Linked DNA regions of Xenopus tropicalis. The protein of the gene in region 1 purifies or fractionates together with the protein of each later gene. This does not show direct contact. Links are inferred from orthologs where the notes say so. Each region holds a gene or a part of one and is shown on either strand. Other genes may lie near its edges. The genes, in order: map4k4, strn3, rap2c and strn.

Region 1 (7,266 bases):
TGTTTCCAGATAATGGATCTGTATCCACCTAGTCCTAAAACAAAGAACAAAAAGTGATAATATAAGTATGAGGTTTCACCTATACTAGGCAAATGTCAGCATGGTCATTTTGGGGTATAGTATATAGTTGAGTTCCTTCAAGCTAAATGCACAATGCTGAGTAAAATTTCCATCCTGTAGTTTTCAGTTGATGAATGGTACTGCGAGCTGCAGGTTGAAGATTCATGGCCTAAAAGGTGGGGCAGGGGGTAGACACTGGATTCCTTGTTAAATATGGTCTTGTATTCCACAAAAGCTTACAAACTTTATAACTGTAAACACTGGATGGCATACTCCACAGCCTCTCAGGTTATATTTACAGAAAAATACGTAGAGCAGCAAATGGCAAAGGTGTATCTCCCATAGAAGTTCACCGTACTCCTTTAGGACTATGCTGAAAAATGCATACTGTTTCAAACGTTTACTTGGACTTTTCCTACAGATTTTTTTTTTTTAAAGGGGGTGGGGCTGTCACCCCAGAGAGATGTTCATTGCATTTCAGAGATCAGTGTCTGGTCTGCAACTCGACCACGGTTAGTAGCCCATTTTATTGCTATCTACAAAATGGATTCAATGACGAATGATACTGCACGTTGCAAACGATCCCTGAATAACGAGTTTTTAACCGAACATCTCGTAGAATGCAATACACCCTTGTTTTAATCATTGTACAGGCAATTCCAACATTCCATTGTACAGGCAATTCCAACCGAGTGGCTAGTAGTTAAAATCTAACCCTTAACAGGAATCTACTGTTCTTCTTTCTAATCCTTACCCTTGGAGGCACCTCGTCACTGTCTGATCGAGCCCAAACCCTTTGGGTTGGCTCAGAGATTTCAGACTTAGGGTCAGAACCCTGACTTTGCACTTCACTGCGTGAAGTTTGGTGCGAATCCTGAGATCGTAGAAGGTGAGGTGCAAATTTGGGAGAAGGGTCACTGAAGGAATGGGATCGCGAGACAGGGGATACATTGTTCTTGAGGGATGCCAGATGAGACCACTGTACCTTACAAGAGAACAAGACATAACACATTTAAATGGAAGCTCTTCATATTGGGTTCTCTCACTAAGCTCAGCTAAGGGCAAAACAAAAAAAACAAAACTGGGACTGACATAAGACGGCAGAGACAAGTTTTGTAATGAAAAATGGTTTGAAAATGGACTGAACTGCTGTTAATGTGTTATATAGCATATGATTGCATGCAGTAACAGGATTTAAATGAGCACCAGTGCCCTCAAAACATTTCACTAGCTTCAAATAATCTCTTATAATATCTATTTTTTTTTTAATAATAATTTATACATTTTGGTATAATCTATGGCAAACTATAACTTAAACATCTCTTGTTTCTATGTGAAAAAGAATTCTAAAACAAAGACTAATATTCATATTTATTTAAGTAATAAATTGAGCTCTGTATATGCAGCAAGCGAACATCAGTAAGCAATTCATTGGTATAAGAAATAGCCTAATTAGCCTTAATTTACCTTTACATTTACATAATAAAGATATTTTCTCCTATTTATAAGCCTTATTTAATAAAAATTAAGTGGGAAACAATTTGCTTTAACATTCAAGGATTTCTACTATTCAACACTAGTGCCATTGACTGCAACGAACAGTAGTAAAAGTTCCAATAATAATAGTGAAAAAAGTGAAAAGAAACATAACAATTATAGGAAAAAACATCTTTTAAAGCTAAATTTTAGGATACCTGTGGTTCCACTGGTCTGTGCATGGCAGGTTGAGCAGGCTCAGAATTTCCATTGGAAAATGATTCGGATCTTGAAGGCACTAATGGCTCTAAAACTCTTCCTGGTTGCTTAGCCTGGGCTTCAGGGGAGCCTTGGTTTGCTTTCCTAAGGCGCTCCTCTGCCTGAACCACACAAAAACCAACCAAACATTGCAACAGAGTAGATGGAAAATTCATCCCTACCCTCATATAACTTGATAATGTGTTTACAACTAAATATTATACTGTGTACAAAAACATGAAGCATTTAAATTAAGGAACAAGATCCCGTTTAACATGAGCTCAATTAATTGGGATTGTGCAGAACATACCTATTGCCTATTGTTGTAATTACCAAAATCTAATGTTTTTGTTATTTCCTGACATAAAACAAGGCAAACAGGGAACCTGAAGCTACTTCATGTTTGGCCCTTGTGAGGTAGATAATTAACAGTGAGGGAGATCTTTATTAATATTATACAGTTGCAAGAAAAAGTATGTGAACCCTTTGAAATTATATGGATTTCTGCACAAATTGGTCATAAAATGTGATCTGATCTTCATCTAAGTCACAACAATAGACAATCACAGCCTGCTTAAACTAATACCACACAAATAATTAAATGTTTCCATGTTTTTATTGAACACACCATGTAAATGTTCACAGTGCAGGTGGAAAAAGTATGTGAATCCCTAGACTAATGACATCTCAAAGAGCTAATTTGAGTGAGGTGTCAGCCAACTGGAGTCCAATCAATGAGATGAGATTGGAGGTGTTGGTTACAGCTGCCCTGCCCTATAAAAAACACACACCAGTTTTGGGTTTGCTTTTCCCAAGAAGCATTGCCTGATGTGAATGATGCCTCGCACAAAAGAGCTCTCAGAAGACCTACGATTAAGAATTGTTGACTTACAGGAAAGGGTTATAAAAGTATCTCCAAAAGCCTTGCTGTTCATCAGTCCAGGGTAAGACAAACTGTCTGTAAATGGAGAAAGTTCAGCACTGCTGCTACTCTCCCTAGTAGTGGCCGTCCTGTAAAGATGCCTGCAAGAGCACAGCGCAGAATGCTCAATGAGGGGAAGAAGAATCCTAGAGTGTCAGCTAAAGACTTACAAAAGTGTCTGGCGTCTGCTAACATCCCTGTTAGCGAATCTACGATACGTAAAACACTAAACAAAAATGGATTTCATGGGAGGATACCACAGAAGAAGCCACTGCTGTCCAAAAAAAACATTGTTGCACGTTTAAAGTTTGCAAAACAGCACCTGGATGTTCCACAGCAGTACTGGCAAAATATTCTGTGGACAGATGAAACCAAAGTTGAGTTGTTTGGAAGAAACACACAACATTATTGGGCACATTTACTAATCAACGAACGTCCGAAAAGCGTCCAAATGCGTTTTTTTAGTAATAATCGCTTTTTTGCGATTTTTTCTGTCGCCGTCGGGCCTTTTTCGTCGCCAAAAAATCAGATTGGTTTTTCCGACGTTTAGAATTGCTCAATACGAAAAAATTGAGACGGCGAGGAAAAAGTCGCACAAAATACGATAAAGTCGTGACGTGTGCAAAATATGAAATAAACGCGACGGCACCGAAAAGTTCACAAAATTTTCATTTCCAATCAGATTTTTTCACATTCGGGAATCAGATTCGTGGATTAGTACATGTGCCACTATGTGTGGAGAAAAAGAGGCACAGCACACCAACATCAAAACCTCATCCCAACTGTGATGTGGTGGTGGGGGCATCATGGTTTGGGGCTGCTTTGCTGCGTCAGGGCCTGGACGTATTGCTATCATCAAAGGAAAAATGAATTCCCAAGTTGATCAAGACATTTTGCAGGAGAACTTAAGGCCATCTGTCCACGAGCTGAAGCTCAGCAGAAGATGGGCGTTCCAACAGGACAACGACCCAAAGCATAGAAGTAAATCAACAACAGAATGGCTTAAACAGAAGAAACTACGCCTTCTGGAGTGGCCCAGTCAGAGTCCTGACCTCAACCCAATTTAGATGCTGTGGCATGACCTCAAGAAAGCGATTTACACCAGACATCCCAAGAATATTGCTGAACTGAAACAGTTCTGTAAAGAGGAATGGTCAAGAATTACAGCTGACGGTTGTGCACGCCTGATCTGCAACTATAGGAAACATTTGGTTGAAGTTATCGCTGCCAAAGGAGGTTCAACCAGTTATTAAATCCAAGGGTTCACATACTTTGTCCACCTGCACTGTGAATGTTTACATGGTGTGTTCAATAAAAACATGGAAACATTTAATTATTTGTGTGGTATTAGTTTAAGCAGACTGTAATTGTCTATTGTTGTGACTTAGATGAAGATCAGATCACATTTTAAGACCAATTTGTACAGAAATCCATATAATTCCAAAGGGTTTTCTTGCAACTGTATATTCACCAACTATATACACCAATTCTACATCTATTATACCTATTTTACACAACTCTATAAGTACATTTTAAGTACACTTGATTACAGTAAAAATAAATACATATCTCTTATCTCACTAACTTGGAAGAATTGCAAGCAGTGCTGCAAACACTAATAATAAAACACTTAAAATTTTTCTCTCCCTAATGACCAATTTTAGTGTGATCTGACAAAGCAAATTATCATAAAGGTTAGTGAGCACCTAACAGTAATACATCTAGCGATTTTGCATACGACATCAGTCAGAAAACTGATTGGGCAGGTTTGAAAATTTTCGTTGTTGACAATTGCAGTTGTCCACTGTCCAACTCCTAGTTTTCCTAACTTTAACTAGACAATATCATTTGAAATGGTCGTTTTCGTTAATGGACAAGTCATACTTTTAAACAATCGTTTCAGGATAAAAATCTTAACATGTATGGCCAGCTTTAGTTTCAGTGCCGGTTTGTCTACAGAAGAAAGTTAATCATGCTAATCAATCATTCATTTAGTGATAGCAAATGTTTCTGGATATGGACACATTTTAAGACAAATATTGGAAGCTGTGCCACCATGCAGTTTAGCGCTGTGGCAAATATATATTTTAGGGACAATATCCCTTTAAATAGAAAGCAGGTCATGGCAGATCTGCAGTTTCATCCATCAACACATAATGTAAACATTAGAATGGAGAACAGAAACAGCAGCAGTACAAGGCCTGAACTGTAAGCAAGCATATACACTGCAGTAAACCCCCACCTCTCGTATTCGTTCTGCTTGTTCATAATGAGGCTTGGGTTCTTGGGTATGGTATGTTTGCTTGCTCCTTTCCTGCTGGGACAGTGGAGGCTGCTGGGGCTGGGGCTGCTGTTGTGGTGGCTGCTGCTGTCTATGATCATGCTGTAGTGACATGAGATAGGCCTGCTCTTGCTGCAACTGACGCTGAAGTCTTTCAGCCTGGCGGTGCTCCTCCATTTCACGCCATCTATACTCCTAAGGGTTACAGGAAAGGTCATAGAAAGTTTTTACAAGAATAAACAATACAGGAAGACATTAATACAGAGTATATTCATATATACATACACACAGACAAAAATAGACTGAATGATACATAAAATGATAATTGTTGCTAAAATATAATTCTCAGTATGATAATGTACAAATGCAAATCTCCTCTACCTCTGTTGCCTTTTTTTGACATACTGGGAGTGTTAGTTCAGCAACAAATGGGGGGCTATTAGTTGAAAAACAGTGTTTTTAGAGACACAGTACATTCTCAGAGATACTTTAGTAATTATGGTTATTTGTAATGGTAGCTTAGAAATTCTGAATTGTGTAACCTGCAAAGAATCATATTTACTCTTAATTATTAAATGCCTCTAATCACACAGGGCCTTTCAAACTTCCTCGCGTCAGTACTACTAGCTATTTATTAGAGCAGCTAAAATCTATCAATGAATAACACATTTAATGTTCATAAAATATTTTGCAAGTAAATGTGTTCCACTAGAGAGCAAGCTAACCCCATGTTATAAGAGAGGCGTACAGCCTCATTCCTTCTTAGCTGAAACATCTGGTCTGAGCATTCCAATTGATGACAGCCAAAGTTTGTCAATGGATCTGGATGGTAAGAGTTTTGGTTCAACAACAGCTGGGGGGCTTCAGGACAGACATCTGACTTGCACTAGATATCATGTTACAAACGCATCAGTATGATAAATGGTTAGCAGAATGTTTCAAGGGCACTTTTCCACTAAACTGATCAATGTTTCAGTTTACTGCAGTTATAAGGATAACAAACATTACCCTTAATCTATACAATAGTATAATGATATACAGCACTAAAAGTCTTGGTGGGGGCATACTTGGTCTGTTGAATTAGCATGCAAAAAGGATGACAGTTCTATTTGCACATGGCCCCAGATAGTTCAAAGTGTGTCAGATGACTGTTCAGGCTCTACAGAGGGCAAATATCGAAATTTCTACTTGCAATATCAACTGTTGATCAAAAATCATTTAATTCCATCAAGATGACAAATTTGGTCAAAATGTGTAAGATTTTTTTTTTTTGTAAAAGATGCCATTTGCCTATTTGGGCAACAATGGGGTGGAGAGTGTCCTTGTAACTTTAAACCTTTAGGAATTACTGTATTGCAAAGAATATTTCACTTAACATACCACACAAGGATAATCCATGGGCCGCATATGTTGCTTTTTAAGTATGAAAACATGGCTATTTGATTTGATTCCTAGAAAGCTATGTTTTAATCAGGTTCTGCATAATCCACTGATGCATTTACATCTAATCACATTATACTGTGTTGTTCTGGGAACGGCACTTTAATATAGCTTGGCACTTTCTACATAACTGGAATTGACAATACAGCATTTGTGGGTTAATATACCTTTGATATGCCACACAAACACATTTCCACCCCACACATTTGGGTTAAAAATTCAAATTAGACATCACAAGGAGAGTTCACATGTTATGTGAGTGCACCCAGAAAATCTGAGTGTCTGTGCTTGTCAATCTCCATTATGTGACAAAACACCTCATAAACTGCCTATGGTTGTTTACACAGCTTGTGCAGCTGCACTGAACAAGGCTGGCTTTTCGACTTGTTAGTTACAGCACCAATGACTGTCAAAGAGCTTTACCAGTAACATGGCCTGCTCCTGAAGCAGCTGCTGCTGAAGGATTTCTAAGTGCCGCTGCTCCTCCTCCAGCTGTCTTCGGATATACTCCTGTCACACAAAATTTCCTACAGTTATTTTTCTTCCCCAAAACCTGTTGCGATGATTTAATTCTAGCAAAGCACACATTGCCTGAAAATGTGCTAGGGAAAAATTCTACACTTCTACACACCTACATTTCCTATGTATGTATGCTTTTGACAGTACTGCCCATTTACTACACACAAAAAATGTTTGCACCTATTTTTTTTTTTTTTTTTTAATTTAAGGAAAACCTCCCTGTAAGGAATAACCACTGTTTTAAAGGCATTCACATAAAAATGCAGCACCAAAAAAATGAGTAAGTTGTAAAGTAGTGTTGAAGAATTAA
Region 2 (8,039 bases), on another chromosome or scaffold:
AGGGCATGGAGAGGTATCAATCGGGAGATATAGCATTTGCAGTGTAGCTTTCATCAGGCATAGGGCAGGTTTCAACTGCTGCAATTCTCCCTGAGAGGCAACCAAACCTATTCCTGGCCCCTTAGTAATGAAGCAGTATAAGAGCTACAGAATGCCAGCCATGATGATTCCAGCACAGCAGGAATGCTCGGAAACAAAACAAGCCACATGTTCCGGCTATAGGAACTGGCCCTGTGCACAGGCCAAGCTTACGCCATTCCTAACATATGAATAGGATTTTGTAATGGTATCTGCCACCGAGGGGATTTGAGTTTGTCAAGAAACAACAGTTCTTTTACTGCAAGAGCAACTGCAGCTTCTGGGATGGAATCCTATGAAATCTAAAAGGCAACATAACAGCAAAAATGAAAAATGTTTAAGAAAGCGCAATCCTGGAAAGTGATATAATAAGAGATATTTTAATATGCTTGTGTTTTGCTTGTTGCGTAAATTAAAACCTTAGATTTGGTTTTCTCACAGCACCAAGGTTTTGTAAATTGTACTAAATAATAAAATACATAGAGGTGTATGTTGACTGTATACCTGTAAGTTGTCACCTACACTAAATAGAGGCATAAGCTTGCCGTTACTGTTCATTTAAGTCCCCTGGATATTTGTGCCTCCAAAGTGATTTAATTTAGACATGGAAGGTGATACGGTTTGTTACTGAGGGCTGGAGCCTGACCCACTATCACTTTAGCAAGGTGATCTCACTTGGTGATGTTACAATTATTTTCAGGAGATGACACTTCTTAGGGCCTTGTTTTTTTGCAATATGATATCCAGTAAATAGTATGACAAGTCTTAAGTGTAGTCGCACAAGAGAAGTGTTAACCCCTGTGCAGCCAATGAGTGGGAATTTAGAGAAACCCACCACTGACTGTAGAGTTAAAGCACAAGAATGTTCTCAGACCTGCCTTACATAGATGAAAGCCATTGCAACCTGGCAATTTGTTGCTATGCGGGAAGTACTTGTGCAACTACATTTGCCCAGTGTTAAATTGGACGCCAGAAGTTACAGCACTAAACAAATGTGTATGCAGTGTTTATAATACAGGTAACACTTGTCAATTGCAATCAAAAAGTGCAGAAATATATTGAAACCTAGCATTTTTTTAAAAAGATTTCTGAATAACCATTTTCACCTTATCAACTGTCTATCAGGAAAATGAAAGCCCAAATGACTAGTAAGTGTAAAATGGGCCTAACAGCACAAACTTTTTAGACCTTTCTTACTAACAGAGTTAAATTTGGGAAAGAACTGGTGAATGAAAAGGTTTGTACAAGTTGAGTAGCTGAAAGCCTCCTGGGTTTCCAGCAGCTGTTGGGTCTTCTCTCTCTATTGTGACTGCCCTGGATAAGGTTATAGCATATGGTGTCATAAAGGCTAAGTGTAACACACTGCTGCTGATTCCCAGCACATGGACACCCTGTTGGACACTTACACTTTACTGCCAAATGGGAAGGATCATAACTGTTTCTTTGAGTTTTACAGAAGTTTAGATACAAAGTAACTAGTAATCTGATTGCAATGGCAGCATGGAAGTCAGGACTAGAATTGCTAACGGCTTGATCAGAAGCGCCGCCTTTTGCTAATGTATCTTTGTAACATCCAAAGGAACTCAAATAGCAGCAATATTCTGCACAAAGGGAACACAAAGTCATACAAACTGGGCAAATGCCGAGCGAAACACAACTAATCAATACTAGCCAAAGTCAGAGAACCTCAGAGCCTTGTGAGCAAGGCAGATACATCACCTGCTTATAGAAGGTTGCAGTTCTAGATTTATAAAAATTCTCCCAATTCTCCTAAATGTGACACTGGCTACATGTAGAGCCTGCCAACCCTCACCATGTGCCTTGCTTTCTAGGGATATAGAAATAGAACTAATCAGTATTAACAAAGACAAACATGCCATATTACAATAGAACCCCTGATTTTATGTACCTGGATTTAACATTTTCCCATTATTGATAGTTTTTCAGTTTTCCCATACAAGCAAGTGGCGTCTTGTTCCCCCCCAGATTTTATACCATTTTGACACCATCCACTGGGACATGTAAAATCGGGGTTCCACTGTATCCTGATTAGGCTATTCATTGTCAGCCACTGAAAATTAAGCAACAATTAAGCTATTCTTGATTGATATAGTATCACAAACATCTTAGTGAATACCCCAGTTTCAGGACAGTTATTCACATACACACACAGTTAGCCAACATAATAAAAGGAGCACCACCACCAATCAATTCCAGCGTACTAGCACTGGGATAGAAACAAAAGCTCATACATGGCCTTCACAATTACACATACCTACCTAAGTCAGTAGTTAAAATGTGAATAGAGTTTTTATTCACTGCACTTAATTATAACATGTTTAATATAGGGTTTATAAAAGGTATGGGCAGAATAGACAAGAATGCATAGGATTAGATCAAACAATGTGTGGATTAAAGTAAAGTTGCACTTGAAAATAAAGGACGGGCATTTTCATTACCTGTGAATACAATAGGATCTTAGAACAGGATGGACCTGTGCAACCAATGGAACACTTTATAAGTTTAAAGACCTATGTAGAACAATCTGCCTGGCTCAGACTGGGCACTAGCCCACATATAGGCTATCCTCACTCACTGTGGTGTAGCTCTGCTACTTTGAGATTTGGGGAATAAGTCTAATACAGCTTACAATCCTATCTGTCACCCTGCAAGCCCACTGGGGTCAGCATGACCTGGGCAGCTGAAGTGAGGCAAATGAATGCCTGCAGACAAGATCACTAGGTGCCGGCCCTGGGAATGACAGGAGCAACAGGGCAGTCACTTGGCCCAGTCATTACAGTCCAGTTACCCACTGTCACTGCTCTGTCCTGAGCTGGAGAGGAGAGACAGGCCTTCCCCAGGGGGAGGCTGCTAATGGGAGCAGAATGTCGGCCACGTAGGCCCCTATATAGATAAAAAGAAAGGTTCCATGGCATTGCAAGAAGGTTGGGCTCTCAATATGTGGGAGGGTTGTCCCACCTGGGCCCTATGAACGCTGCAGAACTACAATTCCCAGCAACCCCTGGTCAGTGGTGGGTGGGACGCTAAAACCCAGCTAGAGGGCAACAGATTGCCCCCCTGATCTGTATAGGGACAATATCTGACAACTGTTACACACTTGCAATTCTTCCCCACAAGGGAGCCATGAGATACTGGGGGTCCAGAGCAAATGCCCTCTCTGCCCTACCCTAAAAGCGAGCCTGCCAAAATGGCGACCTGAAAGTAACCGAGCAAGGCCCCGCTTCCTGTCACTGCATTCCCCCTGGGCACCTGTGCCGGACTCCCCGCAGCTCATACACAGCCGGAGTGTGCCGGGGGTGCGGGGAGATGTAGTTCAGCTGGGAATGAGGAAAGGCCAGAGACGGGTGCGAGTCTGTAGGGGGCGCCACACTGCCATCCCGGTGGGGCCCCCCGTCTCTCCCTATTGTTCCCCGGACCCCTCACCTGCAGCTCGGCCTTCTCCACCTCCCAGTGCGCTCTCTCCATCTCGAAGCGGGCCCACTCGTGTTGGATGTAGTGCAGGATCCCGGGGATAGTGTACTGAGGGGGGCGGCTGGCTAGCTCACAGCCAGGCTCAGATGGGGCTCCCTGGGACTGGGCCGGACCCACGGCCTGCAACCTCGGAGACGCGGCCATTCCTCCGGCCGCCGGGAGATCCTCCATCCCGCCGCTACCAACCCTCTCGCAAGGACTCCGCTACAAGTGACGCGTCCCGTTAGGGGGCAAATAGCTCCCCGGTGCCAGTCAGGAGAGAAGCAGTGAGATGGAGCGGCCGGTAACTCTCGCCCCCCCGGAGGGGAGCCCGCCGCCGTCCCGTCTATAAGTTGCGCACAAGCGCACTCCTGATATTGCCCATTTGTTATCTGTCACTTCCCCCCCGGGGTCCGGTAAGCTCCGCGGGGCACTCTGGGAAACACCGGCCTCACACACCGCCTCCCGCTGACAGCGTCAAGGCGCATGCGCGGGCCTAGCGGACTGACGTCACAAAGGCAATATGCGTCACGTGATCCCCGCCCCGCCCAGAGGGCTAGTAGTGACGTAGTTCCGCATGGAATGGTGACAGCCGAATGCTACCGGAAATCATTGTTGGTTAGCCGGCCGCTCCACTGATGGGATGCTCCCGCCTTGAACGGGTAACCGGCCGTCGCTTTCAGGTTTCGTTGAGTGGCTGAGAGATTTTATTCGCCGGCCCCTGGAGCCGTGATCTAAATAGAAACGTGTTTTATCAGCCTGAGGAGGGTTTAGCAAATGGGGAGCCAATTAGATTCACTGTGCACACACTACATACAGTATGCATACAGTAGCAATGGCCACCTCGTATCTACAGTGAATTCAGTAAGCAGCTTCTGCCTATCCTTGCCTGTGCCATTGTTCTCTCCCATAGCCTGCAGCCCGCTATTCCCTAGGCTCCATGTGAGTTTCATGCCAGTATAAATACGTTGCAATAGTATGACTTGAGGCTTGGGATACCGGCAGCTTGTTGGTGCTGGCCTGAGAGTGTTCAGACAGTAGGGACTAAAAAGTGGTAAAGGGATGGGGCAGAAAGAATGCCCTTAGTCTCCTCACTGGCCCTGCAGATAAATGTCAGTGTGGCCCTTGGTCACCATGGCCACTTCCCATTCACAGGCAGGGGGGCTCTTGAGTTCAGGTATTGTGGCTGGCCGGAGGTACCCCAGTCCAACACTGGTCTTATTTCTAAATATTCTCATTTAGAAATGTGGTCAGTAAGCTGCAAGTTGCAGCCAATCAGAAATCCCCCTATCTGTATCCCACCAGATCCCTGTAGTTTCAGGCTGATAATAAGTGAGCTCCTATTTCCACCTTACACCTTTATGCTGGTGTTTGGTACATTTCAGTTCAAGATAGTGCTAAATCCTCTTGCTCCATCAACAAGCAAGGACCTTAAACCATGACACAAGAGACACCCTTTGTTGCCGCTATAAGCATCTATAGCCTGCATTGTACATTAGGACATCTAACCTGATGTTTTATATACATCCTTTCCAGCTCTGGATAGCAGCTCGTCTGTAGAGATGATCAAGTTCTTCCTCATTGTGAACAAGCAGGGACAGACCAGGTTGTCAAGATACTATGAACGCATGGAAGTCCAGAGACGGACACTGCTGGAATCTGACGTCATCAAATTGTGTCTGTCACGTTCCAAGGATCAGGTGAATACTGCGTTATGGAGGTTGTAGGATAGTGACAATCCCTGCCTCCTTACCTCCCCTTTTATCTGTTTAGATGGAGCCTACCCTTATTTTCCCTTATGCACACACTCTGGGTAGATGTTGATATTGCCTTATGGAGTGAGGCAAAATATCAGGCCTAGCCCAAAGGTATGTAATCAACACACACTGTTTGTTTACATTTTTAGCTGGATGGGGCCCAGGCTGCTTTATTGTTAATACCCCTGTGTAAATATTACCATTGTGCCTCTTTGCTACTCCTTGGCAGTTAATGGCAGATTTTACTTTATACATTTATTAAGACCCTCACAATTGGAGCAATAGCAATGATCAACCCCAGTAAAACTTCTCTTGATCTTTTAATCTTTGGATTTTCTTATGTTCTCTCTCCTAGTAGAGAAATAATACTTCTTATCCTAATTCTTCTCTTCCCATCAGTGTTCCTTCATAGAGTACAAAGACTTTAAGCTGGTGTACAGGCAATATGCATCTCTCTTCATTGTCGTTGGAATCGATGAATCTGAGGTAAGGTGCTGGTTTAAATGCTTAAAGCGATACCAACGTGTTCCTATGAAAATGCATAGGAACATATCAGCATTAGTAAAGAGTTGTGTCATGAAAATATTTGTAGCCAAAGTCCCCTAAAGCTGTTCCCAGCCACTCCAACATGGCTAAAGGCTCCTCAGCAGTTGTGTCACCAATGCTGGGTGGGGGTTGGTGCAATTTTTTCATAGGCCAGAGTACTGTATTCAGTCAGAGTGACTGACATAACTGCAGAGGAGCCTTTAGCCATGTCAAAGTGTTGACTTCAGCAAGTATTGCTGGGCTGGGAGTGGCTTTAGGCTTAAGGGGACTTTTGGCTAGAAGGATTTTCATGCCACAACTTTGAACTAACACTGACACATTTCTGTTGATTTTCATAGGAACATGTCAGTATGACTTTGAGGGCTTAGAAGGCTCTGAAAGAAGGCTAAGCCTCCAAGTATAGTAAAAAAAAAAAAAAAAAACTAAAAAAGTTTGGGATGTCCAACCTGGGCAATGATGGACAAGGTGTTATGTCACAGTGTCAAAAGGTCCAAAAATTCCTTCCCATTGTGGATAGTGAAAATCAGCAATTTTTATTACTCGCAATGGTGATACATTTTTGGGCAATTTTTTCACTGTAACAATATGCCTTGCCTGTCATTGCACAGGTTGGACATCCCAGATTTATTGCCCTAAATGAAGGTGCTGGGGCAGGATGTAGCCTTCCAGTGGATGTTTATGTATAACATCCTAATTTTAACGGAATTTGGCTTAAGAGATTGTTATTTATCAAGTAACTTAGCAGCTGAATGGAAAAAGCCGCACAGTACTGATCTTGCCAGTGAACATTAACCCGTTAGTGTTGCCTAATGGAAAACCGTTCTTCCAGCTACAATAAGAAATCACATGTATCATAGGTTTATGTTATTATTAGGGCCTAGAGCATTTTTACTGCTCCACTTCTGTCTTATGTGCCTAATCCTCTAGGTGGGAAGTTCTTATTGCAGGACCCACTGACCCTGCTTTATTATATGTATGTTTGTAGTGTATTGTAGAGAACGCTCAAGTCTTTTAGCTTTTATAAACGAGTGATAATATTCATGTTATATCTGTCTGCACTTTCCATCTTTGTAGAATGAAATGGCAGTTTTTGAACTCATTCATAATTTTGTGGAGGTTTTGGACAAGTACTTTAGCAGAGTGGTGAGTGTCTATTAACTATGCCAGTACATCATTTCCTGTGTAAGTCCTTAAAGGGACCCCTTGTCATTTCTCCCACGAGGAGACAAGATTTTTTTTTTATTTATTTTTTTTAAGATTTTATGTATATGTTTTATAACAACAGAAAAGTGTAATCAGCACATAATTCAGGTGTTGCTTGTTCAGTATTATGCATCTCCTTACAGTGGAGAGCTTAACTATACATATAGTGATTAGTGTAGTAATGTAGTACAGGTAGACAATGGTGGAAGTACTGTAGTGTATCTGGGGGACTTTATCTCACTAGAGCATTAATTGTTTAAATATGTAGGTCTAGGGCTTTAACAGAGGGCTCGCTTTAGGAAAAGCTTTTAGCCAAGGGCCCCAGACTGTGAAACAGCGTCTGACCATATTTGTCAGTTTTATCACTAGGAGCCTATCATTCACAAGGAGGAGGCAGAATATTTTTTGCCTGTAGCACACCATGTATTTTAACTGTCTCTTCATGTCATCACAAACAGAACACAGAGGATAGCTTCCTAGTACTAGGAGTAAAGCACAGTAAGTGGCCCCAGACATCCCCATCCCATGTATTTAGGATTACATGCTTCCAATTGTTGCCATTCAGAGGCAACCTGTAGTGATGAATTGGTCTTTGAGTGCCATAAAACAAATTGAATCCCAGAATTAGAAGAGATCAGTTATTGGCCACAATCTACCAAATATGTCACCTACAGCAGTGTATCCCAAGCCCAAGAAAGGGAACTGATTGGCTTGTGTTACGGGGAGAGGGGTTAAAAATCTGGACAAAGAAGACAAGTTTAGAGGAAAATGAATAGAGGGGGAGCAAATGTGCTTGTTTCTAATTCCCTTTGCTTATCTGTTTTGCAGAGTGAACTGGATGTATCCTTTTCTGAGCTGTATGGACTTTTTCCTGCAGGGGGCTGTAGTGAGTTTGAGCCTTAGGGCACAGTTTGTAACTATGATGCCTTGATTGTCATTGTGAATTTCTGTTACAGACATTGGCAGACACTGTTACACTGAGGT
Region 3 (7,852 bases), on another chromosome or scaffold:
CAGAGGCGATCCTACACTTTCCTCCCCTTGCATTTTTATGCAGGTGGAGGAATCTGCTGCCCTCTGCTCCTTCGTGTAGCCCCACTGACAGGCACAGCATTGCCTGTGTGAAGTTAACACTGAGTGAATTTTGGCATGGAAACGCAGTAGCATATTCATGCAGAAATCTGCTCATTGCAGCCCCATACTTTGTGCCCGTTAATGGGGCTACATGGCTATATAGCCCCAGTGGATGACAATAAATCATCAGATTTCCTTCGCCTGCATGTGCTCCTACCCTATGGATAATGGCATACATCATTTTATCTGCTGGTGTATTTATGCCAGCATTGAAAAGCAAATCTGCTGCCTTCTGCTCCCTAAGTGTGTGTGCACTGAAGGGTGTGTGGTATTAAGCAGTTTTCCACAGACTAAACCACCCGCCAGAAAAATGCTGTGAGTGCCATTAATCTTTAGTTCGCAGATACAGCACTGAATAAACTGCAGGGAGAATATAACCCCTAGTTACAGAATTTAGCCTGTACGAGTTACATTAACTAAATCATATTCTGATGAAAGCCTCTCCCTTAATTCCAATGATGGCATATTTTAAATTCAATACTTTAATTTGGCATAGCTTACATATTGCCTATCACAAAGCATTTGCCATCTAAGCTAATTCTATGAGCTATTGGAATATCTGCTTAAAGGAAGAGTAACACCAAAAAATGTAAATTTAATTACAAGTAATTATAATATAGTGTGGCCCTCAATGATGAAAGTAGTTTTTTTTAGAACACTACTATAGTTTATATAAAATAAGCTGCTGTGAAGCCACGGAGGCAGATAACAGATAAGTTTTGTAGATCACAATGGTGTTTAACTGTTATCTGCTATGTAACCTGTGCCTTTTCTCCCCCATGGCTATGCAGCTTTGTTTACATAAATCTTAGTAGAGTTGTACCAGTGCAGGACAACAGTACATTAAATTGTAATTAATTTTATACACTTCATGTTTTGGCATTATTGTTTGTTTAAAGCGGTTTGCTTACTGACCGTACCAAGGTATTCTGTTGGGGGAAGAAAAGTTAAAGGGAGGGGAGAGCTTTAAGCATGAGCTAACCTAAATGTTAGAAAAGAATAAAAGAAAAAGCTGTTCAGCTAGATTTCTTGACATTTACTTATGGCAGACATTATGGTCCGGTGCAAAAAAACAAATCCAACAGGTATATTTTGGTTAGACACAGGTAAAAGGATGTCAGGTCACATCCAAAACTAATGTTTTCTGAGCAACTCAGAAATAGCAATAAATCTGTTAGAGGGGAACTAATTGCCCCTACTGTTTCTTTCACAGAATGGCAGAGTAAGCTGATCAATGGAAAAACCACTAAAAAATACATATTGCTCTGAAAGAAACTGCAGATTGTTGCTGCTGTACAAAAGATCAGTGCTGCTGCCAGGGAGTGAGATGCTGGGTAAACAATATCTTGGAAGATTTTATAAATAAACCGAAATAGCAAAATAGATTAGCTTCATAAATTACATTAAAGGACATATAAAGCATACATTCGCCTACAAAGTATATCAGTTGGGCATGCCTCCCACACCCAAATGGCATCATTTGTACTGCATATATCCCCTCCTTTTGCCAGAAACATCACATTTTCCTAAAACAAATAGTTGGTGGCCATTTTCCCTGACGCATCATCAGTGACATTTACATCTCCAAACAGCACATGTGTGATGTAACATTCATGCAATGAAAAATGCAGGCTTACACAGACAGAACTTACTTTGATTAAAAAAAAAAAAGTCCTGCTTGGATTGAGCACTGTAGCAGACAGCTAGAGCTGAGTTTCTATGGGAACCAGCAATATAATTTCTTCACTGGCTGCTAGACTGGAGAGGGCGTGTTTATTAATCTGAGCCGAGAAAAGCTGAGTGTGCTCAGTAGCCAACAGCCATTGTAAATTCCTGAGCGAGGGGGCTGAGTGGGCTACAAGAGGATAAGGAATACTGTGATTAAGGGGATGTTGCAGCCTTACTATTAATTTTTGAAAACCAGAGTGGCAAATATTTAAAGATTTCAAAGAGGCTGTTTACGGATTATATTTTTTTGTGGGTGGTTTATATGACATTTAAACATTTAATCTAAACAGTTACCATTTAATTGCATGAAACTGCCAGTTCTGGATTGCTGAAATGTTACTCTTTTTAGATTAAATGGAAATCTATGTAAATGAGTTTATGAACACACAATTGATAGAATTGATATATATTAGTAACAGATTTATTACAAATTGTTTAATATAAATATCAAGGAATTAGAGTTATGCTTTTTGTAAACAAAGTAACCCTAAAGAAGAAACAAACTTAGGGCCAAATGGTCCAATTAAAACGGTGGGCATAGGTGTCATCAGACCAACGACCGCATCAATGAGCCGATGTGTTTCCCAATCCAACGGAGAATCAAACCTGCCTTATCAATGTCTGGGCGATTTTAGGCCAGATGTCGGTCGGGGATGCCCATACATGGGCAGATAAGCTGCCGAATCTGTCTAAAGGACTCAAATCGGCAGCTTAAATCTGCATGTTTATGGCCACCTTAACTGAGCATGCACAGTTCTTCTCAACTCATTACCAGACATCCCATCCAGTCTAGCAGCCAATGAAGAGATGGCACTGCTGGTTCCCATAGAAACTCTGTTCTAGCTGTGCACTCTGCTGGGGAAATGTTTTTCTCTCCTAACCTCCTCTCCTGAGCTCAGTTTAATCATTACAGTGCTTAATCCAAGCAGAACTTTTTATAAAAGTACTCTTAAAGAAGAGATGGAATATGAATAGGAGAGGGCCTGAATAGTAATAAAAAGTAACAGCAATGAAATTGCAGCCTCACAAAGCAATAGTTTTTTTGGACCCCATTAGGAAGCTGGAAAAAGTCAGAGAAAGAAGACAAATAATTAAAAAAACTATAAAATATAAGTAATGAAAACCACTTGCAAAGTTGCTAGGTATAGGCCATTATATAAGATACTACATTTTAACTTAAAAGTGAACCATCCCTTTAATGACTCTCTACATAACTACAGAGTGAAAAACTCTTATACAAAACAGGCCCTACATTTGTCAATAAACAGTATATTAGGTGCTGGATGAACATTAAATGTAAAAAAATAAATCCCTTTATGACTTACTGGTCTTTTGACACAAGAAAACCATAGTAACTATGAAAAAAATATTATACAGTGGCCCTACTGTAAATTCCAAAAATATTAGAAATCTCCAAAAAGTTATGTGACCACAAAAAGAAAGAGTCAGAAATAGCCTTTATACAGCTCACATACTCTGAAAACATTTAACTTCTGATGTATAATAACAGTTATAGGGCTTGACAGACCCAAAGTGAGATATTTATACATGTACTTCCCTGACACACAGCACGTATGCCATCCCGTGGGTGGCCAAATTGGGCAAAGATCCACTCGCTTGGCAAACTGGCCAAACTTGAATTTTCAGCATATGGCCAGGTTAAAGGGGCAGTACACCCTCTTCTTCAACATTAGATCAATGAATATGGTTTGTGGTTCTAAAAAAGTAGCCTGGGGCTATTAAACACATAAAGCCTTTGATCTCCTCTGAAATCCTCTTAGCTGCGCTATGTTATTATACTGAAACAATAAAGATATTGGATTTTTAAATCCAAGGTGCACAATTTGCTTTTTGTCAGAGGATATGGTTTGTGGTGAACATACTTTTTGCCTGTTGCTTTAATTGAGAAATTGTTGTTGTTTAAACTAAATTTGGCAAAATCTTAAACTGAAATAGGTCATACTCTACTTTTGTTCTTCTAAAAGCACACACCAAAAATCCACTGAGAAGCCTTCTGCATAAACAAACCCCTTCCCCGACTGCAGTCTTTGTGAGAAGAGCAGCTTATTATACAAAGGGCCTCTTAGCGGATTAGTGATTTTTTTCTCAATTGTGCTTGTATAAACAGGAAGTAGCATGTGACATTACTCGATTTTAATGCTTACTCTCTTTAGCCAACACATATGTCTTAATTAATAGGAAAAAAGTATGTTCAGCACAAGCTTAACTAATCTTAAGAGGTATGCTGCCTCTGTAAGTGCAAAGCAAAATCTGGCAAATCAGCAAGATTTCTATAACGTAGCAATGGGTGTTTCTTTGCATCACTATAGTAAACTATTTAAAAATTCACTGACATGTAACATTTTCATTCATACTTGGCACTGTATGTGAAGGAACTGGTTATCTCACCTGGAATGACTGTTGATTTACCAAGCTGTACACCAAGATAAAGCCCTGGCCATTCTTAATGTAAAGATCCCTCATAGAAGCAAACTGTTCTGTGCCTGCTGTGTCCAAGATCTCCAGCACAGAGGGTGATGAGTCCACCTCAATTTCTTTGCGATAAAAATCCTCAATTGTAGGATCATACTTTTCAATAAAGGTGCCCGTAACAAACTGGACAGTTAGGGCTGACTTCCCAACCCCACCACTGCCTAACACCACCACCTTGTACTCCCTCATGGGCTCGGACAAGTGGGGTCACACAGCACATACACCACGTCAGGTTGGAGTGAAGATGGGGCTAGTGTTCTGACTTAGGATCCAAGTTGGTTATATCCTCCTGGAAACAGTGTTGTTATCTAGGGAGACTGTTGAAATGATTCTGCTGGATGATTCAGAGTACAAAAGGCAGTTCTTGCTTTGCACAGCCTACTTTGGGTCCAATACCAGGAAGCAGTTCAACTTCAAATGAGAATAGTAAGGTAAGTTTCTTTCCTGAACTGTCACAGCAGAACTAATAAGAAAAATACAGACAAACAAACAGGTTATCTATTCAAAAAATGATAAATGGTATATTATGGAAGTAAGCAGTCATGCACATACCTAGATTCCTGCTATTTCAGAGTATTACTCTAAACAGGAAATGAACAACCACCCCATTGTTTTTGTCTCTACATTTACAGGCACAAGTTATATTACTTCCATAAAGCAGGACATTCACAACCTAATAATTAGGCCAGAATTACAGACTCTTTGCCCCATTAGCCAGCCATTTCGTAGGGGCAATTTTGGTTGATATGATTATTGATGCCTCTGCCAAAAAAAACCTCATTATTTCGAGCCCTGTTCAGAAATCAGTAGAGGAGACAAATATTCTGACACCCACACATGGGCAATGAGGCTACTGACCCAGCAAAAGAGACCAAGTCGATAATTACCCATTGAAGTGAAGGGCAACAAATGCATCTTTTCTGTATGTACCAGTACAGAGGCCCCTCTACATTAGTACAAGCATACAAACTCTGAAGGCCTCCAAGCATAATCCCCAACAGTCCAGCATTCCCCGGACACTCCCTATTTTCCCAACACAGCCCGCAGTCCGGATGGCTACTCACACGTCCCGCAAAGCTGTTGATTGCAAGCTCCTTGCCGCCTGTCTTACAGGAAATCCCAACGCCACAAGTCTCATCACGCGAGACTGTGGCGTCACGACTACACGCAAGCGCAATGACGCATCTCGTAGCCGCCTGGTTGGAGTGAAACGCAGGGATGGCGGAAGTTAGAGATACACAGTCGGAAGCAGCTAAGAAGTGGAAGTAGGTCCACTCACAGACTGGTTTGCTCTGCTCGCACCTCCTACATGTGTTAGAGAACAGAAAAATACTTTTTTTTTTTTTTTTGTGTTGGTTGCCGCCCTGCCCACAATGTTGCCTCAGAAGGCATTTATATTTTCTGCTGAGAGCATAAGTAGTATGCGCCAGGGAATTGAAAAATAAAACATTTTTCTATTAGTTGCCAGTAGTACTTGCTGCCATCAGAGCTGCTTCTCCAAAATTGATTAAAAAGGAAAAAGGTTTTTTTTTTGGTCCTCGTGAAATTAATGATCTTTTTAGTATTTTTTTTTTGTAGATGGGCCAGGTTTTCCACATAATGGCTAATTCAGGAGCAGTCAATGGGTGGAAAAATATATAAAAAAAAACTAACCCTACGTGTTTTAGGATGCTGTCTGAGGGTGCTGCTATTTTTGTGCAAACAAGGGGCAGATATTTACCAATTAGGGTGAAGACACACTGGGCTACTAGTAGCAGCTACTTTTTCAAGGCTACTAAACTCCAGAAAATACCCTGCCATAGACAATACTGAGAATTGCATCTGCTAAAACACACGTAGAGACAACTATCAGTAAATGATCTGCATTGTCTAGTTCAGAAGCCACTACAAGTAGCTGCTACTAGTAGCTCCATGTGTCTTCACCCTTAAGGGATAGAACAAGGGCGAGTTTAGGAGGAGACAATGGGTGAAATTGACCAAAACTAATTGGTTACTCTTGTTTCCTCTGGTCCTTAGCCCTTGGGGACACGGAGTGGTTTGTTTACTGCATTTTCCTGTCAGTCTAAGAGAAGCGGATCCACGTCTATACGTTGCTCCATGTGCCTGCACTGAAAACTACAGCTCCCACCTCAGGGCAGCACACAGAGCGGAGTGTAGGTCGGCCAGAAAACCCCTGCTTCAGCACTTTTTGGGCCGACCTCCACTCCTGTGTGTGCCTGCCCTGAGGTGGGAGCTGTAGTTTGCAGTGCAGGCACACGGAGCAGTGTATGGAAGATCCGCAAACTACTCTGTGTTCCCAGGGCCTGAGTGTGCAGGTTCCCTGTCCACTTTGCAGAAAGGGCATTTGTGAAGACCAGTGCTGGCACACCAGTTAACCATAAACAGAGTTTTAGTTATTTTCAGTGTTTTATGTTAAGACTAGGTCAATATTTTTAGCAATCTAGGACCAATGTATGGGCTAATTAGGATAATTTAATGGGTACCAACATTAATCTTTAGTTTTTTTTTTTTTTGTTAATGGTGGCATTACAGGCCCCAAGACATTTTTCCTGGTTTCCAAACGTACCTGCCACCATCAGAGCCCTTTTTCCCACTTTGGCCAAAAATGAAGTTGTTTTTGTTCAAATCAGGGCCAGGTGAAATTAAATATTCTTAGGTAGAAAGGCTTCTTAGCTGCAAGTGGCTGTGCATAATACTAAGTCTCTGACTTTGGGGGTACCACATGTTAATCAGGAGAATGATGGAAACAAGAGTTCTGTAAAGAAAATAATTTTGTGAAATTGTTAACTTTATAGGCATTACATCCCTTAAACAAATTATGAAATTGCATACTGCCAGTCAGCTTCCTGCTGATTGGCTCAGATCCACATTCCTAAGGGGGTGGGGAGTGAGTTCTTAGCATTCTTGAGGGAGGGGGGAGCAGTAGAGAGGAGACAGCAGAGAGCTGCATATCTCTGGCACATGAATTACAGACACAAGGAATCTTTTCACAGAGAAGTCAGTGCAGCATTTCTGTGAGTGCTTATGGCTGTATTTACATAGACCTTTCTGATAAAGCTTACTTAGTTTTTACCTTTCTTTCTCCTTTAAAGGAGAAGGAAAGTCATTTTGGTATTTTACTGCCAATAGATTTGCCACATTAGTGCCACCTAGAACACTATATTTATTCTGCAGAAAGCATTACCATACCTGAGTAAAGAGCACTAGAAGATTTCTCTGTTTAAGATAGCAGCTGCCATTTTAGCTTGGTCTTCATAGCTTCCTGCTGCAGCTTTTGCCCTTAAGGCTCAGATCACACATTCCTAAGGGAGAGGGGAGAGAACATCACAGACTCTGGCCCAGGGAATGAAGGATTTTTCTGAGAGAGGAAGTCAGATACCCAAAGAACATGTTTACAAAATAGGAGACAAGAAATCTTGTGTTTCTTTTTATAGAGGACACAGTGCAGCATTTCTGTGAGTGCTTATGGCTGTATTTACATAAACATTTCTGATAAAGCTTACTTAGTTTT
Region 4 (7,906 bases), on another chromosome or scaffold:
TAAAATAAAAAGGCGCAATAACATAGGCTGTGTTATAGATTTAGACCCCAACTTGAAACCTATCCTAATTCATGTTGATAGTGACAGCCTTGGATGGCCAATAGGGTAGTGCGACAGCTTCCTAGCCAGTAGTTCTTTGGGTTGTTCCCAAAAGTAGGCATCGTTTCCATACAGCTTTAAAAGTTTTGAGCTTTGGAAGTGATGAAATGCCTTGTATGTTGTATTCTTTCAATCAACATGGAAAATATATTAGCATATTAAAAACAGAGGAGTCGGATTAGTAGGATTTATGCACTGACACCTGAAAACTACAAATACATTTGGGCAAGCAATTGTTGAATTTAAATGGGTTGTTTTAACTTTAGTATGATGCAAATAGTAATATTCTGAGACAATTTCTAATTGGTCTTCCTTTTTTTTTTTTTCTTCATTATTTTTAGTTTTTCATTATTTAGATTTTTCTTCAGCAGCTCTGCAGTTTGGAGTTTCAACAGCTGGTTGCTAGGGCCCAACTTACCTTAGCAACCAGGGAGTGATTTGAAAAAGAATCTGTTATCTGAATAGGAGAGGACTTGAATAGAAATAATGAATAGAAAAGTAACAACAACAAAAAAACTGTAGCCTCACAGAACAATAGTTTTTTGGCTGCTGAGGTCAGTGACGCCCATTTGAAAGCTGCAAAGAGTTAGAAGGTGGCAAATAATTAAAAAAATATTGAAATAATACATAATAATGAAGACCAATTTAAAAGATGCTTAGAACTGACCATTTTAGAACTTCACCTAAAAGTGAACTACCCCTTTAATTTATAAAGTAACAAATTTACAATTTATGCGGCCTGGCAATATGAATTTATTAGAAGTGCCCCAGATAAATCAAAATATCTAGTATCCTTACCATAAGGAATAAATACACCAAAAAATCAATTTTAAAATAAAGAAGGTATTTGAAGAATCCAAAAAATTACATTAACTTTCATATTGTGCCATAAAACTTATTTCTGGCTAAACCACAATGGAATATCATGGACAATAACTGCAAGCTCTGCTTCTAGATTCATGAAACCACTCACTGCTACATCAATGTAGACAAACCTGAGTGTATGGACACTGTTCCTATGGTGTCAATTGTTGGGAAATGGCACTTAAAAGAGAAGGAAAGGTAAAATCAGCAAATGTTAGGCATCCCACAGTGATTGTAATCACTTACTTGATTTTTTTGGTTTAAGTTTGGCTTTTCGCTCTACTGCGCATGCGCAAGAGGCATGAAGAAAGAAGAAGGAAGAGAATCGCTCGCAGGTATCCCAGGTCGGTGCAGTTTCCTGCTAAAAGAGGCACTGGCCCGGGGTAACAGGTAAGTGATTACAATCACTGGGGGGAGCCTAACATTTCCTTCTCCTTTAAAAGAATCAGACACTGCAACAGCAAAATCAAAATCGTGTTTTAGGTTTTATTTGTGGAAAACTGACACTTTATGAATCCATCTTTTAACATTTGTGACCAGTTTATATGCTTCCATAATTGAGGTAGTATTACTGGACAATATTCAATGATTAGTATCTGTTATTTATACAACACAAACACATTACACAGCGCTTTACAGAGATTATACATCATTCACATCCCTCCCCCAGTCGAGCTTACAATGGTCCCCATACACCATAAGATCCGCTCTCTTGGCGATGTTGCCAAGCGAGCGGATCTTCACCCGATATCCCCCACCTATGGATGGGCGATATCCGGAGAATTCGATTGTTTGGCCATAGGGCCAAACGATCGAATTATAATGACGGGCAAAGGTAAAGTCGGTCCGGGGTCCGCATCGGCCCGATCCAACTAGATTTTCTAACCTGCCCTATGGCCCATCAGGCCCGATCCCGTCGGAAGTGCCCGAATCGGTCCAAGGGACCGATATCGGCAGCTACTATCGGCCCGTGTATGGGAACCTTAAGTCTCTATCATATTTACACACAGTAGGGATCAATTTTATCAGGAGTCAATTAACCTGCCTATGTATCTTTTGAAATGTGGGAGGAAAAAAAAGCACCTGTAGGAAAAGTGTTCTCAGGCTCAGGGAGAACAAGAAGAACTTGCAGATTGTTTCAAAGCTGGAATTAATCTCAGAATCCCAGCACTGCAGGAAGTGGTACCAACTACTAAGCCACCATGATGGGATATTTACCCCTTTAGTAAAAGCTAAAGCTGGCCATACACGTTTTGATAAAATCATATGAAACCTAGTTTTGTACAATTTTCGGACCGTGTGTGGGCTCTGAATTAGCATCCAATAATTTTCCTACCATGGTGATTGGTCATTTAGTCAATTAGTCAGGTTAGAAAATTTCTGTCCCCTAACTAAAAAAATCTGTGCGTGTATTGTATTGTATAAGGACGATATCCTTGAGGGACCTAAAATGGAAGTCATTTTTTGTACAATTGGTGGCCGCCAACTATTTACTGTTCTGAACATCCTCCGATTTGTATTTTAAAAAAATGTTGTTGTTTTTTGCCAGAACCAAAGTGCAAACCATAGAGTAATCAAAATGTATAAGCCATAACTACTTGGTTCACAAAACCGATATAATTGACAGGATCCTATAATTGACAGGATCATGTCAGTACTATTAGTAAATAAGGAAAGCTCTATTATTTTCATTTAATTCCCTTTAACACAGTCCCAGCCCAGTTGTAATTGCAGGTCTGATACTGACTTGAGAGCATAGAGTTGGTTGTGTCAGCAATGCTAGGGTTGGGGTGGTGAGATCCTTATGTAGGCTGGAGTACTGTTAACATTTGTACACGTAAAGACAGAGTGAACATAATGTATATGGATACCAGTGTAACAATGTATACATAAATGTAACATGCAGGAAAGTATTGGAATTCTTGTATTGTATGTCTGTTCTTCTCCTTTAAAAGTAAAATACTAGACCCCATCCAAGAGATATTTGTTAGTGGAAGTGAAAAATTATGTGTAGTGTCCATAAACTTTAACCCACATGCAGCAACAGCATGACTGATGATGGTTTTATTGTATACAAAGTCAATCTGAGGTGAAAGGGGTACATTATTTTTTTTAAAATTTTTTATAAATAAGATTTTGTGGATGTATGCATGCATGCAGTATGAGCCAATGGGCTGACGTGTCTACATATCTAGAAACTTCAGTAACCTCCATATGTAGGGCAAGAGCAAGTTCAAATTAGTTTGTGATCTGTTTCTGTGTAAACAGAAGCCAGCAGTGGGTCCATTCCATTTCCATTTGAAATATACCTAACGTAAGCTTACACATATGGCACACATGACATCACTGTGCACATCATACATGTGCTAAATACTGAATAGATGGTGTTTCAATAAAATGGAGGTCAACTTATGTGTGCCGACAGATAAAAGCATGTGTAAAATTACCCACATTGCTTAATGACAAAGAAGATTCCAAGCAACTTTCCAACACCTATTATTCACATTACAAAAATTATTTGCAAATGCAATTCCAGTCCAAAGCTACAGTTCTGATTCCTAGCCCTGAAACATTGTAGCAGATGCTAATTAGAAGATATGGGGGAGAACTGACTTCTGCGACATTGTTCCAAAAGTCAGAACCAGGGAACAGCAAGGGATAAACACAAACCGCTATTTTTTTTTTATTAATGAATATTAGGAAATGACTGTACTTTTGCTTTCACTGGGCAAAAAAACAGTTCATTGAGATCTTTCTTTACCCTTATGACTGTCAATATCTAACATCACAGAATGACAAATGAAGATATTGTAAATAAGTAATGATGATGTTCACAAGTCAGAACTGTAGAAGCTTACAAACACAGTTCAGGTGTTCCCATGATATAGAATGTCTGGGTGTGATCTCACACATACTGTACATGCCTGATACTGTACATGCCTGTGAGGGTCTCCTCCCACACATCATATTCCTCTCGTGTATAAATGGGAGCCCTGGTTTCCATGGCCAGTTGGGCTCACACACTCAGATATAAGGCTGCCTGCTCCTGGGCTCACAGCCTACACAGGCACACATAGCTCACACAGGCACATATGGCTCACACAGGCACATATGGCTCACACAGGCACATATAGCTCACACAGGCACATATAGCTCACACAGGCACATATAGCTCACACAGGCACATATAGCTCACACAGGCACACATAGCTCACACAGGCACATATAGCTCACACAGGCACATATAGCTCACACAGGCACATATAGCTCACACAGGCACACATAGCTCACACAGGCACACATAGCTCACACAGGCACACATAGCTCACACAGGCACACATAGCTCACACAGGCACATATAGCTCACACAGGCACACATAGCTCACACAGGCACACATAGCTCACACAGGCACATATAGCTCACACAGGCACACAGCTCACACATGCAGGCAAGCTCTCGCCAAACTCTTGTACGTTTCACATATGGGAATGTAGAGGTGAAAGTGACAGACGCCTGGGCTCAGTAGCAGCCCCCAGCCTTACCTGCATCTCGGCTCTTTCCACTTCCCACTGAGCTCTCTCCACCTCAAAGCGAGCCCACTCATGCTGAAGGAAGTGCAGGATGCCAGGGATACTGTACTGGGCCCTACCAGCCGTACCAGCGCTTCCTCCTCCGCCTCCCCCGGCCACTGAGGCCGCATCTGCTGCACCAGCCTCGAACCCTTTCCCGGCACCACCTGGGCCAGCACCAGCGGACAGCAGCGAATTGTTATTGTTATTGAAAAATACGCCGGGCCCCGCCTGCTCGTCCATGGCCGCCCTCCGTGGCAGGGGCCGCGGTTAACAGCGAGGGGCCGCCACCGATGGCTCCGGAGAGGGAAGAAGGGAAAGCGAGCGCGTCCACTCCGCAAGCAAGCGATAAGGTTTGATTATGGAACGGTCCTGTCACGTAACATACGTCCTGACCGCCGTCCAATCTCCCGCCCCTACATCCACCGCAACCCGGGCTCCGCTGCCGCCCACACTCGAAGGAAGCCAGGCTGTCGCTGCTGTCTGGGCGGGTCTCCTGCCACTCTGACAGCGGCTAGTGACGTCACGCAGCCCAAGCGTTCGGGACCGCCCTTCCAGTCGGGCTTCCTGTGAGAAGGGTTTTTTTTTTTTTTTCGGTCAGCTTTATTTCATAGTGACATATATGGCCGTGTTTTTTCAGTTCAAGCACCCAGAGATCATATCGTGAATGTGATAATGATCGGCCATGTTTTAGGCCATACCATTCAGTGTGAAGTGGAAAAAAATCTCAACCTAATGATAGTCAGGGTCCCCCTAGACTCATAACACGGGTATAGGAAAATGGCAGGTCAGCAGACATCAACTCCAAAGCTTTGCTACTGCCCAAGGAATAACTGAAAGAAGGGAGGAAGATAGTGTTGTGGTACTGCACTGGAAAGGACCAGTCCACAGGTAGTGTCAGACCAGTGTAAAAAGTAGGCAATTTTATTCACTGGGATGGGTAACACGTTGGCACCCCCATTCTCCTTTTATGAACTAGCAACATAAAAATATATCAAATTATTTGTTTAAATCAACACATCATGTACTATTTATATTTGTCTGAAGCAAAATATTCTAGCTTTTATTCCAGTGTTTGTGCTGTGTTTATACATCTTTACCTGTTGCCTAATGAAAGCCCCCTTACAACATATCTTGCTCAATGGAGTGTTAAGGTGGAGTGTTACATGGGCCCATCCCACACATTGTCCAGTTGATCAGACCATACACATACTATACATGAAATCGCCACCTTACTGTTGTTCTGGCTATCTGCTCCACTCATCTGCACATGTGCTGGGCACTAGCTCAAATGGTGCAACAGAAGATTACATTTTAACAACTGATGAACAAAGCAATATCTATAGTCAGCCATGTTTACTCCCCTTTATTTCTCAAAAGTCATCCTGATTTAACCCCCCCTCCCCCCGTCTGCAGTAAAGGTCGCCATACACTGTAAGATTCGATCTTTTGGCGAGGTAGCAAAGTGAGCAGATCTTTTCCCAATATGCCCACCTAAAAGTGGGCGATATTGGGCTAATTTGATCATTTGGCTTTCTCAGAGAAGTCATTAATATGTATTATGTGCATTTACATCAGACACAAGAAATTAAGTGTGATTTTGCTTAAAGAAACAGATAAACTGGGCGTCAAAAAAAGTGACACACAAAACCATTAGTTATATATGTTCTTGCTTGACTTTAAGGCTAGAATACATCAAAAATATAAGACCAGTGTATTTATTTACAGATTGGTGGAGCACCACTTTGTGTTATGGCATGATGCAAATTGGTAAAATAAAGTAATAGAGACGGCAAAGTCCCTGTCTCTCACTTATTAATACAGACATAGGTAGAGGGGGTACATGTGCATGCACAGTCATCCCAACAGCAACCGCTACTGCTCCCCCTCCACATCCTGCCCATGGCTGCCCCCTGCTCCTAGTCTGTAGCGGGCAGCAAAGTTTTAGGAAGGAGAGGGTTTTTATTTTTTTTTTTATTAAAAATTTCACAAGAAAAGAATAACATAACTCAGACTAACAAGGCCCCGCCATGACGTCACCGTACAGACTGGCAGACATGGGTAATGCTCACCCATTTTTCTCATACTGCTGCTGCTACTATGTATAACTACTCTTTAGGCCAGACACCAGCCAATTATATATCAGACTCTGAAAAACAGGTTCAACCATATACACCCATGTATCACAGTTCTAAACACAAATCCACCACTCTCCACCCACTTAAGCATTCAACTGTACCAGCACATTTTCAACAAACTAAACATTTTGTTATCTAATTGCGTTTTCAGGTTATTGATTCAATGGAGATTTTCAGAAACGAGGCAACAACATACTGATGTGAAATGAACTAAAGATGCAGTGGATTAATAGACTGCATAGTCCATCACATGGTCTTAATAGAAAGTTGTTTTTTTTAAATAGGTGTATAGTCTTTGACAATATGGTGTAATGATATAGTGGATATCTGAAGAGGCCTTAGACAGTCCTAAACATTGCCTTTTTGTGTAATTTTGAAACCGAGAAAGCAGTATCCACTAATTGCACACATCATCACAAATCTTTCATTGGAAAATGAAAAGTAAACCTTCTAAATGAATATGGCTAGAAATTCCATAATCCTTTATAGTACCCATGCCTTTAAAGTTGTCTAACAAAACTAATAACTCTCTATAATAACTATTAATGGGGCGGTTCACCTTTAAGTTATCTATTAGTATGTTATAGAAGGGCCAATTCTAAGCAACTTTTTAATTAGTCTTGTTTTTCATAGTTTCTGAATTATTTGCCTTTTCAGCTTTCAAATGGGGGTCACTGACCCCTAAGCCAAAAACGATTGCTCCGTGAGGCTACAGTTTAATTGTTATTGTTACTTTATATTGCTTATTTTTCTGAAAATATCAGTCCGTATAAGGTAATTCTGAGAAGCAGTATTGGAAACCTTCTACTCCTCCTTCATCTGTGGCTTTTGTAAGTTTCTTTTTTTAGGTCTTCAGGAGATTCCACATTCTCAATACCTTTTATACTCGTGAGTCACATTCAAATGGAAAAAATATTGGGAAACAACACAAGCATGGAAAAAGTTCCTGGGGGTGCCAATAAGAGCTATAATTGGCTATTTGGTAGACCTATGTTAACTGGAAGCCTACGAAGGCTCTGTTTGGCATTATACTTGGTTTTTATGCAACCAAATCTTGCCCCCAAGCCTGGAATTCAAAAAAGAGAACTTGCACTGAGGCCACGGGGAGCAACATATTGCTCACAAACCACTGGTTGGGGATATTTTCTACTTATTTTTATACTAACCTGCACGTCTTTTGTTGCTATCAGCATAAAAAGACAAATTCCAAACAATTCTATCCACTCAAGAACAGC

The links.
Region 2: the proteins of map4k4 (region 1) and strn3 purify together in Homo sapiens (affinity purification with mass spectrometry; 4 studies listed by BioGRID and IntAct, with this or other methods). This does not show direct contact. The link is inferred for Xenopus tropicalis from reciprocal best matches to the Homo sapiens genes MAP4K4 and STRN3.
Region 3: the proteins of map4k4 (region 1) and rap2c purify together in Homo sapiens (affinity purification with mass spectrometry; 3 studies listed by BioGRID and IntAct, counting the BioPlex papers as one, with this or other methods). This does not show direct contact. The link is inferred for Xenopus tropicalis from reciprocal best matches to the Homo sapiens genes MAP4K4 and RAP2C.
Region 4: the proteins of map4k4 (region 1) and strn purify together in Homo sapiens (affinity purification with mass spectrometry; 4 studies listed by BioGRID and IntAct, with this or other methods). This does not show direct contact. The link is inferred for Xenopus tropicalis from reciprocal best matches to the Homo sapiens genes MAP4K4 and STRN.

What each region holds. Positions count from the first base shown.
Region 1 is NC_030678.2:110,576,898-110,584,163, reverse strand, and holds part of map4k4 (mitogen-activated protein kinase kinase kinase kinase 4), read right to left. Parts: intron 6,948-7,266; coding exon 6,861-6,947; intron 5,193-6,860; coding exon 4,959-5,192; intron 1,917-4,958; coding exon 1,755-1,916; intron 1,046-1,754; coding exon 815-1,045; intron 1-814.
Region 2 is NC_030684.2:113,225,430-113,233,468, forward strand, and holds the start of strn3 (striatin-3), read right to left. Parts: upstream 4,036-8,039; 5' UTR 3,742-4,035; coding exon 3,523-3,741; intron 1-3,522. Other genes in the region: ap4s1 (AP-4 complex subunit sigma-1), read left to right, coding at 5,112-5,249, 5,706-5,792, 6,927-6,995, 7,884-7,895. UniProt on the Homo sapiens protein: Calmodulin-binding scaffolding protein which is the center of the striatin-interacting phosphatase and kinase (STRIPAK) complexes.
Region 3 is NC_030684.2:67,492,124-67,499,975, forward strand, and holds the start of rap2c (ras-related protein Rap-2c), read right to left. Parts: upstream 4,805-7,852; 5' UTR 4,531-4,804; coding exon 4,258-4,530; intron 1-4,257. UniProt on the Homo sapiens protein: Small GTP-binding protein which cycles between a GDP-bound inactive and a GTP-bound active form. May play a role in cytoskeletal rearrangements and regulate cell spreading through activation of the effector TNIK.
Region 4 is NC_030681.2:49,994,188-50,002,093, reverse strand, and holds the start of strn (striatin), read right to left. Parts: upstream 4,866-7,906; 5' UTR 4,777-4,865; coding exon 4,507-4,776; intron 1-4,506. UniProt on the Homo sapiens protein: Calmodulin-binding scaffolding protein which is the center of the striatin-interacting phosphatase and kinase (STRIPAK) complexes.